2 linked regions of the Neodiprion lecontei genome follow. The protein of the gene in region 1 interacts with the protein of each later gene in a biochemical or structural test. Links are inferred from orthologs where the notes say so. Each region holds a gene or a part of one and is shown on either strand. Other genes may lie near its edges.

Evidence for each region.
Region 2: the proteins of general transcription factor IIE subunit 1 (region 1) and transcription initiation factor TFIID subunit 6 form a complex in vitro, tested with the Homo sapiens proteins (2 studies listed by BioGRID). The link is inferred for Neodiprion lecontei from reciprocal best matches to the Homo sapiens genes GTF2E1 and TAF6.

Annotation. Positions count from the first base shown.
Region 1 is NC_060263.1:15,134,795-15,141,544, reverse strand, and holds general transcription factor IIE subunit 1, read right to left. Parts: upstream 4,238-6,750; 5' UTR 4,223-4,237; coding exon 4,191-4,222; intron 4,159-4,190; coding exon of another isoform or gene 4,113-4,158; exon of another isoform or gene 3,659-4,112; intron 3,657-3,658; coding exon 3,523-3,656; intron 3,436-3,522; coding exon 3,269-3,435; intron 3,200-3,268; coding exon 3,071-3,199; intron 2,989-3,070; coding exon 2,762-2,988; intron 2,681-2,761; coding exon 2,473-2,680; intron 2,385-2,472; coding exon 2,156-2,384; intron 2,080-2,155; coding exon 1,904-2,079; 3' UTR 1,530-1,903; coding exon of another isoform or gene 1,499-1,529; 3' UTR 1,060-1,498; downstream 1-1,059. Other genes in the region: arrestin homolog, read left to right, coding at 53-241, 299-467, 540-685; rab-like protein 3, read left to right, coding at 4,113-4,158, 4,494-4,703, 4,787-4,935, 5,121-5,234, 5,345-5,524; putative ATPase N2B, read left to right, coding at 1,499-1,529.
Region 2 is NC_060264.1:21,659,195-21,668,323, reverse strand, and holds transcription initiation factor TFIID subunit 6, read left to right. Parts: upstream 1-2,451; 5' UTR 2,452-2,588; coding exon 2,589-2,738; intron 2,739-4,058; coding exon 4,059-4,371; intron 4,372-4,460; coding exon 4,461-4,864; intron 4,865-5,091; coding exon 5,092-5,310; intron 5,311-5,373; coding exon 5,374-5,556; intron 5,557-5,624; coding exon 5,625-5,847; intron 5,848-7,089; coding exon 7,090-7,391; intron 7,392-7,862; exon of another isoform or gene 7,863-7,920; coding exon 7,921-8,013; 3' UTR 8,014-8,154; downstream 8,155-9,129. Other genes in the region: ATP-binding cassette sub-family C member 4-like, read right to left, coding at 8,412-8,642, 8,752-8,881, 8,968-9,129. UniProt on the Homo sapiens protein: The TFIID basal transcription factor complex plays a major role in the initiation of RNA polymerase II (Pol II)-dependent transcription.

The sequences.
Region 1 (6,750 bases):
TATTTGGCAGAGAGAATATCATCCTCACGATGTGTCTTTTACTCTCCGACAGCTCTATGTTGTCCAACATTGCGAGGTGACAATGGTGAACGCTCAGTTTTCACGGCATGTTGCAAGCTTGGAGACCCGCGAAGGCTGCCCCATCACACCTGGTGCTTCGTTCACCAAGCAGTTTTATCTCGTTCCATTGGCCAGTAGCAACAAGGATCGTCGCGGTATTGCTCTTGACGGACATCTGAAAGTGAGGGAATTCATGATGTTTCCTGTATCGGCATATCTAAGCTTTCATTTTTTTTAGGACGATGACGTGAATTTGGCCTCCTCCACATTGGTTGCTGAGGGAAAATGCCCTGCAGAGGCAATGGGTATAGTCATTTCGTACTCCGTTCGCGTAAAGCTGAACTGCGGCACTTTGGGAGGTGAACTTGTCACAGATGTTCCGCTCAAGCTGATGCACCCTGCTCCTGGTTAGTTGAGTGGCTGAACATTTTTTTACCTGAGTACGCTTCATATCTTAATCGTCATTTCTTCTGCGACAGGTGCCCTAGAGAAGGAGAAAGCAGTTTTGAAGAAGAGCAAGAGCATCGATCGTGCACGCTATGAAAACTCTTGCTACGCCAATGACGACGACGACAACATTGTCTTTGAGGACTTTGCTCGCTTGCGTCTTAACGAGCCAGAATAAAACACCGAGGAGTATACGCTGCACATGCTATGAAAAGAATGTAAATTTATCTACTTTTGCAATGGATATGCATCGTAGACGACTTCGCACTATGAATATTCAATTGTTGAAATTAGTCGCACCAATTTTACGTTTGCAAGTGAGTCATAGAAGATCGTTAAGTCTTTATTTTAATCATGCGTCTATTCTCATTTTCGAGTTGACAGCTTGTAAGGGCAAAATATCAAATTGCCTGGCGTAACAGTGAAAGAATTTTGAAATGCAAGTATGAAAATGTAATCCTTTCAAAAGTATCAACAATCAGAAAATCTGATCAGATTTTGTTGATGTTACCACGAATATTCTGAAAGCCGATGACATTTTTGTATGATCTAATGTATAGGACGTGAAGAAAAATTATTGAGGGGGAAAAACGATGCGCGATGCCATTGCTTGTGTGATATTATGCGATGCTTGGGTTCTTTTCAAAGCAAGCAATGAAAAGTAAGTAGTTATAAACCGAATTGTAGAGTGATATATCAAGTCTCGTAAGTCAAGTTATAATGTACATAAAGTTACCTCAAATAACTTGTTTACGATAAAATTATTACCTATTGAATTATCGAAAAAACTGATAAAAAGAAAAAAAAACGAAAAATATGCAGAAAATCCTTGTTCTATCATCCCCAAATTTGGGTTCGATTGTGGTGGTCGAGCAAAAATTTTGAAATAGACGAGCAAAAAAAAAGATATCCCCAAGTAAGTTTTACTTATTATCCAGTGATAACATAAGAAGTTGGTAGGGAAAGAAAAACATTTAATATAGTATAAATAATGACATTTCCCGTTCTTACCAGAAGTGACATGTATTATTATTGATTAATTATTTTAGTTCTATTATTGTTAATAATTCAGTGTTATTTATTATCACGTATTCAATATATTTTCTTGATCAATGTATCGTTAATTCCACATGTTATTGGATTGATATTATTGTATATTAGGTTTCAAGTATGTTAATAAATTCTTAAATTTGACCAGTCTTTCATGGCAATTATAGCTCAGTATCACACGAGTCAGCTGTTAAAGGCAAATTACAAAACACGGAGCTGTGAACAATGGATTTTTATTATATTCATACTTATACAAAATATTCTCATACTTCACGTATATGTGTGTAAATTCACAGTCATCGTACAATTTAATTTAAAAATATAACTCTCGCAAGCTGTTTTCAGACTAATCGTACATGTGCGAATAATATTCTTGATACGTTTGAATGTAAGCTTCTTTCTCTGCCGGCGTCATATCGGCAATCAAAGTGTCATTGATATCTGTAATTGAAACTGTTTTTCCTCCCACACTAACCGTGGGCACCAAGTCGTCGTCCTCTGAATCCATCGTCTCTACATCACCTGAATCGTTCAAAGAAATAAGTCTCAAATAAGCATCTTAAAAAGCTGAGAAATACAATCATCTTGCAGCAATTACCCATATCGATAGCCTGTATCTCTGTAACATCCTCATTATCGCTACTGTCGCTAGATTCTTGAGGTATTACAGTCTTAATGGCATTGGCAGCATTAGTCCCTCCTTTTTTCTCGTGCGCCAGTAGCACCGACATTATGTCTTCGCCCTGTTTATTCGTTGCGTTCGTTGCATTTGTCGCGTTCGTTGCAGCCTTATCAAGAATACTGTCTTGGCCTCCAACCACGTCCGTCTGAAATAACAAAAACAACTTTCTCAAATTCAGCTTTCTCAAATTCGTTGCCAAATTCACATTCTCTACAATATCATCATTTACACACCTGCGATCCATCTGTGTTTACCACAGTGCTTTCCATCATCCAAATCGGCCTCTCTTTTCTACGATTGGCAGTGTTATCATTGGCCGATTCATCGCCGATGGTAACATCCACTCTCGTATCTTCGACAGCAAATCCAGACGACCTCGTCGCCTCTCCTGACCATTGTTCACCCGGAGCACGAAGCCCAGTTTGCTTCCTCGTATCGATGCTGTAATGTCAGTCGAATATAAAGTTGACTTGTCATTTGCAGCTGTCCAACAAGAGTGAAAATTATATTTTTATTGCTAACCCTCGTATGGTATTGATGTCAACAGGTTCAGGCTCGAGAATTTCAGGTGCCAATTTTATACCCTCGACTTCTCGCAGCAGAATGTAGAGTGGCTCTAATTGTTCGTTAAATTTTGCCAGAAGTAGCCTGGAGTCTTTTTTCGGAAGAGCAGATTGATCTTCCTCAACGATGTTCCGACAATAAGTACATCGGAACTCGTCTGTTGTCATATCAAAGAGTTGATCTGCCTGTGAATAAATATTGTTTGCCATAAAAAAAATTGAAATTGTGATTGTGTCCATCAAGACGTTTGTCTATCGCTAGATTCACCTCAAGGTCCGTGAAAGTCTTAAGACAATTTGTGCACTTGAAGCTGGCTCTGCTGGTCGCGTCTCGTTCTTCCGTTTCCATTTTCTTACGCATGTGATCCAACTTATACTTGACAACGTTGACAAAAGTCTAAAGGATTAAGATTAAAATTCAAAATTTAGCAGGCATTTTGGAGGGAAAATCTGAGACAATTTTTACCTTGTAATTGATGAAATAGTAGTTCACTTTCTGCGCCTTTCCATCAGATCCAGTTTCCATCTTAAGTCTAACTTGAATGAATTTGTCATTCCTTAGCGTAGATATTCTAGCTCTCAACATTTTTCGCTCGAATTTTAGCAGCTCGCATATGTCGTCCTCCTTCATACCTGATAGAAGGATACAAACAAAACTACAGTTGAAACTTTTTAGTTGGCTGGGATGAGCGATGCCAAATTAAATAGATTTACACTTACAGGGATTTCTGACCAGCATGTCAACGATTAAGGCATCCTCTATGGTATAAAAACCGCGAACAACAAGCCGTGCTAGTTGTTTCAAACTGCTAGGCACTTCGGTGACAAATCTTTCCTCCCCACTCATTTCTCTGCTAATAATTCGAATACAATAATTCCCACCATTTACTCGGACTGTTAGTGAGAGGGATTTTTTTAGGGCGTTGATGTGGTCTTATGCATTTCTTAGGTGTAAAAACATTCAATTCGTTATCTACTTATTCGCCATCACAACGATATTATAACCTTCAACTATCGGAAAAACCCGGTTCTTCTTATTTCGACGGCCTATTTGTAACTCCAATTAACGAATATTGCCGCATTCTTAATTAACAGTTCCAGCGGTGGTACGATCACGGATAAATAACGCGTAATTGCATAGTTTTTCGGAAATTTAACACAGGGTGCATCGATGGCTAGAGTCGTTACTTGAGGTTATGATGCCGCGTTCGGCGGGGAGGTGGAGCTTGTCAAACAAAAACTGTACCTAGATTCCGCTCCGCCGGTTGCTGTCAGGAAATTCAAGTCAGAATTCGAATGTAACTGTACAAATGGCAGCGATCGATAAGGTCAAAATAATCGTTGTCGGAGATTCTGGTATAATTATCCTCTGCTAAATTATCACTTACCCATTAACGGCATTCTTCGTTCTTCGGATCATTCGCTAAAAGAATCTGTTCACAGATCGCGATCACCACGTATACGCAATTCACTTAATTTAATATTTTCTTCGTTTGCATCGCCGCTTTACCGTTCCTCCGGCAATAAATCGTAGATTTAATTTGGTTACGAATATATTTATTCATGGGGAAATCACGAGGTTTTTAAGGTTATTTACCCATCTATGCACTGTACATGCATATTTTGATCCACTTTTGTTGTTACTTATTATATAAACAGTCTGTAAGCAAGTCTTCCTTTTATTTTTACAGGTGTTGGAAAAACCTCACTGACTCATTTAATATGCCATCAACAACCGATAGGGAATCCGTCGTGGACAGTAGGATGTTCGGTTGAAGTAAAGCTGCATGAGTACAAAGAAGGCACTCCGAATCAAAGAAGATACTTTATAGAGTTGTGGGACATCGGCGGTAGTCAGAATCACCAAAATACTAGATCTGTGTTTTACAATCCGACAAATGGTATGCAAAGTACGGTGTAAGAATCTCAGAAATATACGTGATAAACTTGTGTTCTGATTATAATAGAATTTTCTCATTTTCAGGTATTATCTTGGTTCACGATCTGACTAATAGAAAGTCGCAGCAGAATCTCCAGAAGTGGCTTCAGGAAGTTCTAAACAAGGACGGTAACCATTCCAAGTCTAAATCTTTCGACGACTTTGATCCCGAACAGTTCGTCGGTTCAACACAAGTAACTATTTTTTAATTGGCTGCTTAGCCGATGAAATGAGAATCTGTCAACTTTGAATGATGGCTTGAGAATTGCTTACAAAAAAGTATAGTTTTACAAATTTCATTCATAGATTAGTAATGTTTTGACAATTATCAAAATTAAAATCACCTCACAAGAGTCAAAACCTGAAATTTTATTTCCAGATACCAATTTTGGTAATTGCAACAAAGTTTGATCTGGCCGCAGAAGTGAGATCAAGTGTTCATCGACGTTCATCTACAATTGCTGAGGAATGTGGAGCGGACGAAATATTCTTGGTAATAAAATTAAAAGGCAAACGGTCGATGCCAAATATTGTGTATGTTTGTTTCATTGGGTTGAAATTGATTTTATTTTTTAAATTAAAGATTTCTTTGATCATTGTCAGGATTGTCATCAAGTCAGATCCTTGGCTGCAGGCTCGAGTTCTTCGGTGAAGCTGAGCCGATTTTTCGACAAAGTTATCGAAAGACGGTATTACTCAGCGAGAGAAGGAATCAGCCCAGACAAGCGAAGACTACCAGTATACTCTTCGCAGTATAGTCCAAAATTTTATCACAATGACTGAACGAAGACCCTCCACATCATATCTATTGTAATATATTTCACTTTACTCTCCCTTGTACCCTATTTTACAGAACTACAAAAAAAAATATATATATATATATTTCTGAATAAAGAATCAATACATTCAGTAGCTCACTTGAGACTCGAAGGCCGTTATCAATTCCGTATTGAGGGGTTTTAGTCTTGAAGCAAAAGAAACTGATTTTCGCAGTTACTGTGAAAAATTGTTTCTTCTTTTCCTTTCATATCGACGAAGCAGTATTTGATGAGAGACTTTTCATTCCGTACAAACGATTTCATATTACGCGGTTTTTACGGTAGCTTCGTAGCGCCATGTGGTAGTGGTACGAAAGAAGAATTCGAAAATCGTTGGTCATTACGAATCGATACTCGACAACGCTCGACATTCCTCTCAGTTCGTTTTTTTTTTTATCCATTTTATTACACCGCACGACCGCATGTAACGTGTGTGTGTGTGTGTATGTGTGTGTGGAAATTTGTAGAAGGTACATGTGATAAAGGCGATATGAGTGTTCCGAGTGTGTGTGTGTGTGTGGCTAGATTTCGTCACGGAACTTCAGTGTCAAATCAGTAGCGAGTCAAGTCGCAGCGCGGTCTTGGGATGAACGTTTAAATGTCTGTGCTAACGACCGCGAATTCGCAGAATAGGTCCCACCAAGTTTTCAGTGCAGTCACGCGTATCATGATTCGGTAACGATTGGCGATAATTCCGCTCTTACAGCGATTTCATTGATTACATAAAAGTTTGAAATATTTCCCTTTTGACGCGCGCCCTCCCTCGATATCGTAAGTATGTATGTATGTACTTCAGCACACGGTAGAACATGCGGTAATACATATGCACACAAGTAGGTATAACACTGCGGGAAAATTTTTCGCAGGGCGTGTATCTATTTATATACACACTCGTGACAAATCTTCAATAATAACTTTACGTAATTAAAGCTCTCCAGACTGTTTCTTCGATCTATTGTCTATAAAGTTTAAATATGTGAGTCGAAATAGCCACCCTTGAAAACGTTCTAGATGATGAATGATTGATGATTAAAAACCACTGAAACGATTGATTGACTTATAAATGTTTAGATATAATGATTCTCTGGTATTTTCAGATAACAACTTAGCCATGGCATGTATCACGATGATAAGACCGTCAAATTTGAAACACTTCTACCATTTACTGTCAAAAAATTCTCACCCCTTGCT
Region 2 (9,129 bases), on another chromosome or scaffold:
ACGCGATTTGACTCAGATGGCTCGGAAACGACTGATGCTGTACGGCGCACAGAAGAAACTTAAATCAGTTCTCTGAAGAACGGAGGATAATAATTCTCCCCGCCCTCTCTGTCGCTCTTCACATGGAGTGGGGATAGCTGCACGCGCCTGCCTATCTGTTTTTCTCCTCTGTAGAATTATTATCCTGTCCTTTAGAGAACCGATTCGAATCCGTTCACGGGACGCTTACACCGTTGCTTACGCTCTATTTTATACATCTCTATGGTCTCAGCGGCCGAATGAAAACACCGCCTAAGCTGCGCACAACGCGATCAAATGTGTAGAACATTGCCGTAACAATGTGCGACGTCAAACGAAGTATGAATGCTCGGACCAATTACGGATATTACTTGAAAGGGATTTTCTCAGCTTTTCAATTTCACTATGACGACGGTATGTTACCAACGTTTTGCACGCGATAGTTGTTAGTTATGAAGAATTTCTGTTACCGACGTCGTCAGCTGCCTGGTTGATGAAACGTGAAACTGCTAATACCCCCAAACCCAGCAAACTGTTACGCACAATAACCCAGCGTTATCAATCTTTATACATATGCCCTCGGTCAACGCACACACTTAAACTTTCGCCGAACCGACTTCAGCGATTCTCCGGATCTAACTGCCTTTCCTCGGAGTTCGGACTTACGCGACAGAGTACGCGAGCGGTATTCGCGCGAGCCCTGCCCTCTGGTGGTCGATCCATACAACCGCGGCACGACAATCTTTCTATCGTGACAACCACCGTTGCCCCTCAAATTCAAACCACCACACTAGCCAATATTTCATATTGTTGTTCTAAAAGGCTGCGTGAAAATTGTTGATTATTTGCTAAATTATGCAAGCCGAGATAACTGATGTAAGTGGTTTCGTTAATGCTGAAACCATCACAAGTCGTAAACTAGTATTGTAAAAAACTAACACGGATATTGATAAGATATTAGTAAAAAAACGGAGCAGACTGTCATGTCAACAATGTACAAATCGAGACAGCCCTAGACTTAGCTAAAACTGGGTCAAAAGTTAAAAATACACTGAGTTTTTGCCAAAAATAAACGTAAGGTGCACTGGAGTCGTACAGATAACAACACTGAAACTTTATTCAATGTTTGAATTCTATGTTATCGTTGATTCATATGAAAACGAATAATCGATAACGGCTAGTGCATCGGAAGTAAATGTTTGTACTTTTCAAAACCTAAATATTATTATTGTATAAGATTTATGTATATTCTATGTGAAGAATTTCTCAATTGTTCATCTTGTTATACATATTAGCACACTTTATTTTTATGTCTTTAAATAAAAATATACGTACGATGTGTTCTGTAAATTAATCTCCAAAAATTACTTACAATTTCGAATGGTACAAATGATTTTATGTGTGAGATTATTTTTTGCAAATGAATTTTATCACCATTTTCTTATTTCTCGTTTGATAAATTATTTTAACTCAATGGATTTGATCACTTTTAGCTCTTTGTATTTTACGAATCAGATAATAGTCATTCATCTGGATCTTCCATCATAACAAATCCATCTATTTCGTAACACAGGTCTGCAAAGGATTGCTCCGTCAAAAAAAAAAAAATTCCGACTTGAAGATTTTAATGTGCCGAATTTATATCTGCTTTCCATTTTCTGCTGTCACGCATATGTATATTACAGGATATGATTTTTTTATTGTTTAAAATTAAGAATTTGTTGTGTTTTGTTTTTACATTTGCACTACTTTAATCTATTTAAACAGTATTCGTAGTATTCGTACATGATACAAACCAGTTCGAACTGATGAAAGAGAAAGAAACATATCGCCTAACGCCGTTTTATTCACACCATGCATGCGTCTGCGCAGTTCTCGTTGTGCCTTCATGTCGTACAGTACGTTAAAATGTTGTCTAGTGTGAAAGAAAATGACAAAATAACTAGAATTATACTAGTAGATAGATTTTCTTTCGATTTTAATGCGTAAACATTTTAATTTTATGACATTTTTTATAAACATTGTTGCTATCATTAGTGTTTGATTATAATGTGTAAGCAAAAATAGCGTTATATTAAAAAAAAATTACATGAAAAATATACGTGGTTCATATTATTTGTTACTGTATTTCTATTCAAGAGCATCTAATCTAATAAGAAGGAGGAAAAAAAAGATTTTCTTGCAGACCAGTGATAATTACAATGAATATTATCCACTTGTAGTACTTTCGGATTCATTAAAATTCTGTTTCAGTTTCCCTTTTTCGTTTTGTCGTGCAAATTTGTATTTTTAAGAGAATCGATGTACATACCGTTGTGCGAAACTCAATCCTTATTCCGATGTATCGATGAATGGAATCGATTCTGCCAAAAGGCGATACCAGCCTGTTTATTTTGCCGCGTTTAAAGTGGTGGACTACTTCACGGTAGCTTCGTGGCTACCACAAGCCAACGTGGACAATCATGTGAAGCTTGTCGATAGTTGAAGCCTGTCAAACGTTTGTAGGTTATGTTTGTGAAATCGATGCTGTTATTGTGAAAAATTAAGTATAAATTGATCACAGATGAACTATGAATGACAACGATTCGATATACGGGACGACTCTGTCCCAGGAGTCCATGAAAGTGATCGCAGAAAGCATTGGGGTCGGAAATCTTCCTGACGAGGCTGCCAAGGATCTCGCCGAGGATGTAAGCTACAGGCTAAAGGAGATCATTCAGGCAAGTTGCGGTAGTATTCTCTGTTTTCTCCTCTCAATTTACATATATTCGACGAATTTTAAACTCTCCGAAGTCACCACTGAGCTACGTTTTGAAATATTTAATCTCGTTTGCCTACTTTTCAATTTTTATTTATCTCATTTCGCCATCTCTGGACATATTTCGTCCTTATTCATCCATGTCGATGTAAAATTTGACTGTATATGAATGTTCGCCACATTTTTCCATTCGTTTTCAGTCACACATTAGTCATATTTTACCTAATTATATTGGTATTGAAAAGGCGTTCACAGTGTAAACATTGTGGATGCACAAGCGCGGTTAGGTTACCATCATGGTGGAGGGATTCAAGAACTGCGAATGTGTACGTACACCACATACGCATACAGCCGTACAGCTCTTGTATCGCAGCAAATATTTTTATTCTTTGTAATAATTTCCCCCTTCTGTCGTCATGACCACCATACACATTTCATGCTCTGCATTCCAATCACGTTATTTTTGGGTACATTTGGCTTTTTATTTTATTATTTATGACTATTTATAATTTCAATACTGTTTCAATATTCAGCTCATTATTTAATTTCTCTAGCTGTTTTTGCCTACCAAAGGTCTTATTTCTTTACTTTTGACCATCAATTAATCTTATTTGGCTATTTCTAAACTAATTGTCATCTATTTATGGCAAACTAATGATAGCTGACTGTTTAGCTGTATTTCAACTGTTTTCAAAATTGTCCCTCATCCATGTTTAGTCACATTATAATAATGATTTGACTATTTTTTTTACTTCATTTAGTCATACGTAGCCATGCATAAGCATTATTTTTTCCCTCTTTCACAATTTGTTAGTCTGTTTAGGATGTTCTTGAATACATTTCATCATTTTCTGCTATTAATTGAGTTTCTTTGACTCCTCTTGACGTACACTAATCTTAGTCAAATTTTTTTACCTCTCATTAGTTCTTTCAAATTATTTTTGGACAGATTACGGCCTTCAACGTAAATCCTTTGCCGATAAATAGTTTTATTTCACTATTTTCAATTGTATTTTCATTAAAATTGGCCACCAGTTCTATTTTACAGGTTTTATTTAAACATGTGTTGGTTCACCATTATCCGTTTGCTCATCATGTTTGATTACTTTTTGATGCATTTCGACTGGTTTTAGTGTTGCTTTGGTCATATTTGGTCGATTTCACATTTATTTGCCATAATAAAAGAGATTTTTCTACTTCCAACAATAGACTAATTTCATCACCCACCTTCGTGTTCACTTTTCATATCATCCTTAAATTAACTTCTCAAATACCTATTCAGGATGCAGCAAAATTCATGCACCACAGTAAGCGTCAGAGGATGACTGCACACGACATCGACCATGCATTAAAGATAAAGAACATCGAGCCGACATATGGCTTCTTTGCGCGAGAAAACGTCCCCTTCAGATTCGCATCGGGAGGAGGTAGAGAATTGCACTTTGTCGAGGACAAGGAGATAGACTTGAACGAAGCAGTGTCCAACAGCCAGTCGTGGCCTAAGCTACCGCTCGAAGTAACGTTGCGAGCCCATTGGCTTTGCATTGATGGCGTCCAGCCGACGATTCCAGAAAATCCACCTCCTGTATCCAAGGGTGAATTGAAAAGCCTTATCGGTCATTCACGAATATTTCATCACTTCATGATGCTGTTCATCTGAAAAATAAATTCAAAAAATTTCCAGACGCGCAAAAGGTTGAGAGTGTTGATCCGACAAGCAAGCTCACTGCCAAGGGTCAGAGTGTCGGCATTGGTAAGCCGGGAGGAGGAGGAAAGAGTCAAAAGTTGAGAAACGTTGAGACGGTGCATGTAAAGCAGCTTGCTACCCACGAGCTCAGTGTTGAGCAGCAGCTCTACTACAAGGAGATAACCGAGGCCTGCGTTGGATCGGACGAGGCTCGTAGAGCTGAGGCCCTGCAATCTTTGTCTGCGGATCCTGGTTTGCATGAAATGCTTGCCAGAATGTGCACCTTCATCGCCGAAGGCGTCAGGGTCAATGTGGTGCAAAACAATCTCGCACTTCTCATTTACCTCATGAGAATGGTCAAAGCCCTTCTCGACAATCCCAGCCTTTATCTAGAGAAATACGTGAGTAATTTGCCACAAAAAATTTCACAACACAGCAGCAGCGGCTTTCACGATAGTTGAGAATTCAAGGAGATCATGAAAATCACGAAAATCCAGGCTAAACGAATTGTCAAAGAAATTATAGAAATAACTGCAATCTCTTCTTTCTCGATGATTTGTTCCTTGAATTATTTCAAATCTTACTGGCTTTTATTTCTCTATTTTAACATCAATAGAACTAATTTCAGCTGCACGAGCTGATACCGTCAGTAGCGACGTGCATAGTCTCTCGGCAGCTATGCATGAGACCTGAAATGGACAATCATTGGGCGCTGAGAGATTTTGCATCACGCCTGATGGCCCAGATCTGCAAGAACTTCAACACGTCGACGAACAATGTGCAGACCAGAGTTACTCGCATGTTTAGTCAGGCGCTGGCTAAGAATAGTCAGGTAAATCAATTCGGGGTAAGAAATTATCGACATCCTTACCTGCGGCTAAGAGGAAACTAACACTTCTGTTATCTTCAGACGCCCTTGGCCTCGCTCTACGGGGCGATCGAAGGACTCTCTGAGCTCGGCCCAGAGGTGGTCAAGGCGCTGATCATTCCAAAGATAAAATCCATATCTGAGAGGATCGAGAGCTGCATTGAGGGGCCCGTACTTTCCAGTATTGATAAAAACGGTGCTGGTCATATCAAGACGCTGTTAGTTGTGAGTGAACTTTTAAACTGCTCGAAACTCTCTTCGCAGTTGATTTAAGATTGTGTTGGCTTTTTTAGAAAGTTGTCGCTCCTGTGTTGAAAGGCATGCGTCCGGCTCCGGATTACGTTGAAGAGTACAAACAAGACTTTGGATACGTCGGTCCAGTGCTTTGTGCCGCTGTTGCTAAAGCTCGAATCCAACCTGCAACTCTTACCACCTCCGCAACGGCCTCCACCACTCTCACCACAAACCAGCAACAGGGACCAACCACTGTGGTGACAAAACCGCTCGTTCAATCAGGTAAAATAACATGTTTCACTATTGGGAAGCAAGGGAAATGGCGCAGGATATTATTAATGCTGTGCCAGTTATGCTGAATTTCTTAGAGATGTTTGAAAATCTTGTGGCAATTGACTGACTCTTAGTAATTCTAGGAAATCTTCATAGTTTAGGAATCTATGATTCAAAACAGAATAAATTACGCAAATCAGGGTAGTCTCTATTTGGTAGGTTGAAAACACTGAAATGGTTGGCGATTTTTGTTTTACCTCTAAAAAGAAACGAAAAGTCTGAGGATTTCGTCGAATGTGTTACGGGGTGTATGATTGTTATCACGATGAGCGGCTATCGATGACCAAATTACCAAAGTATAATTTCTCGAGATAGATTACGTTGTTCATTACTTTAACTTTTATAGACACAAAAATAATCCATAAAATTACCGTTTTGGATCTGGAGAACCTGAATAAGTAAAAAATTCCCCAATTCAAAATCAGTAGCAACCCTGTTTCGTGAATCCTATTGCCGGGAATCACCAAAATCATGTTACACCTTTCAAAAAATCCTCAGATCTTATGAGAGATCCAGAACGATCATTTGATATTGACTAAAGTACATACCTTCGGGAATGCGAATTCGTTATGCTCTTTTCTTCTGTTGTTTTGGAATCGTCCGAAACTGTGTATACTCTGAATACTTATTTGAAAATTGTTGAAATTTTTCTTGAACATCTCGGTAGACAGAAAAGGATTGGAACTTATTGAACCCGATTCGTTTCGATGATTTTCCGGTCCGAGTTTCACAAGAAAATTGATCCATGATAAGAAACTCAATGTGAATTAATCGTTCAATTTTTTTGAATATGTGTCTAGGGATTTGATATGTTTCCACTTTCTTACGTGTCAATTACAATAAAATCACTTGGAATGTTCCCGGTGAATTTTTTTGTACGAAAGGATCAAACAGGAATGGATCGAAACGAAATTAGGTATTACAGCTTGAATTGAATTGAAATTGCGTTGTAATTCAAACATAACAGAATGGCGAAGAAACGAATCCGTAGACACGCATTGAAAACGCTAGAACGATTAAATCGGATTGATGTCAGCATAATGCAGTACGTTTACTTGATAATTTGGAATTGGCAGACGCCAAAATAAATTTTTTCTAGTACAATTGAATCTTTTTTAATTTACTGGGATCCGAATATCCAATCTTCCGAAATTTATTCACTTTACATTTGAGGCTGATCTATGATTCCAGTGCCCGCGGGTAGCCCAGGTCAGCAGGCTCCTAGCAGAACGATGATACTGGGTTCCGGCAGGGGTGGAACAACGCCGACGGGCGGCTGTCAGAAGTTCGTCATACTTCAGTCGAGATCGCAGACACCGACGATGCCGAACGTCGTACAAACACCAGGCCAACAGCAGCAACAGCAGCAGGTCAAGATAACGCAAAATAGTTCTAGTCATCAACAAAAGCAACATCTCCAGGGTAGCACCCCAAAACTGGTGGTGGTTTGCATGCCTAGTAGTAACCAGAACGCCACGACCACTGTGTCTCAGGTACATGGATCAAGTCTATACACCGAATCGCTACCTCATTCTTCTTGGTTTTTTTCCGTTTTTGTGCTTTTGCATCAAGTCGCGTTCTTTTTGTATACTTAGAAACACAATTGACATCAGCTACTAGTATCATCCAGTCTGTTTAATCGCTGAAATTAATGCGCATAGGGGGTAAACTGTGAAGTACGTCGATTTTGTTATGTTCTTTACTTATGAACTCATCGTTGAAAAATTTACGATATAGTACCAAATCAGCGTGTACATGTATATGCGTAGTTTATCGACCGAAGGCACAGTGTAGTGAGTAATTGCGAAATTTCAGAGATCTATTTTATTTGTTTTTTTTTTCCTTTGCTTTATCGTGTGTTCAGATGCTTTGTTTGAAAATTCGATTTCCCGTCCCGTCGAACACGGAAAGATCGAAACGGATTAAAAACAAGTCGTTTCATAAGAATGTTTTCATTTTTTTTCACGCAACTAAATTAGAAAAAATTTATTCACCATATTTTTTTATTCTTGTTTTTTACAGGCCAGTCTTACTTCTAAACCACAGACAGTCTTTGTTACTCAACAAAGCATCGAAAGATCTCTGAGCCCCACCGACGAGCACGCTTTTCAATAGATTGAATAATATATTTATTAATAAAATTTATACGTATATGCCAATATTTTTTCTAATCCTAATTGTAACGAACAAAGCACAACGTTTTGTCTAGTTGTAACTCAAGTTAGTTTAAAACAAAATAAAAAAATTCAATACCAATATCCGTTGTTCTACTTTTCATTCGTTCGCAGTTTTCTAACCGGTAATTAATCAACCTTGGTCATTTCTAACTTCGATAAATTACAAATAAGACTTTGACCTCATTACGATTGAAAATTTCTACAGCTCACCTTGCAGGTTGAGGTTTTTTTGGTTGAACCAGCTGATCGATTCACCGGAAAAAAATAAAAATTCAACTAATACTTCGTCGGTACAGTTTAACACTAGATCCCATAAAACACACGAGGTGACTGTTTTTACCGATCTTTACAATCTTCCGTCAATGGTAATGACTGGGTGGTAGTTTCATCTTCGTTAACGGTATCGTTCGAAGTAGTTGATGCCTTTTTGTGAAATTCTGAACTCCGTAGATACGATGTTTCAGCAATTTCGGAAAGTTTTTCTGCCATTGTCTTGCCAGTTTGTTGAAGCATTTGAAAAAAGTGACCGTTACGATTTTTCAACAGCAAATAAGGATGATCAAACTCCTGCACATCGGATAAAGATGGTAGAAAAAAACAAGGATATTAGTTATTCAACAGTTTGCTTAAAATAATTATTTTGAGACTTGGTTGGACGATGTAATAGTTCACGTACCACGATGCGACCTTCCGTCATGACCAAGACTCGATCATTATCCATTATTGTGTTTAACCGGTGAGCTATCGTCAAGACAGTACAATCAGAAAATCTCCGTCTGATGGTGTCTTGGATAAGGGCATCGGTGCTGGAAGCCAGAAACATATATACCAAATTGAAATAAACAAGATAACTAATTAAAATGATGACAAATTCGACCTGATCTACACTGACCTACGGTCAATGTTCGCGGTAGCCTCGTCAAGAACGAGCAGTCGATTGTTCCTGAGAATAGCTCTAGCCAAGCAGATTAACTGGCGCTGCCCAACGCTGAAATTAGCACCACCTCCAGCGACTCGGAAGCCAAGGGATTGTACCGCATTACCGAGTTCAACT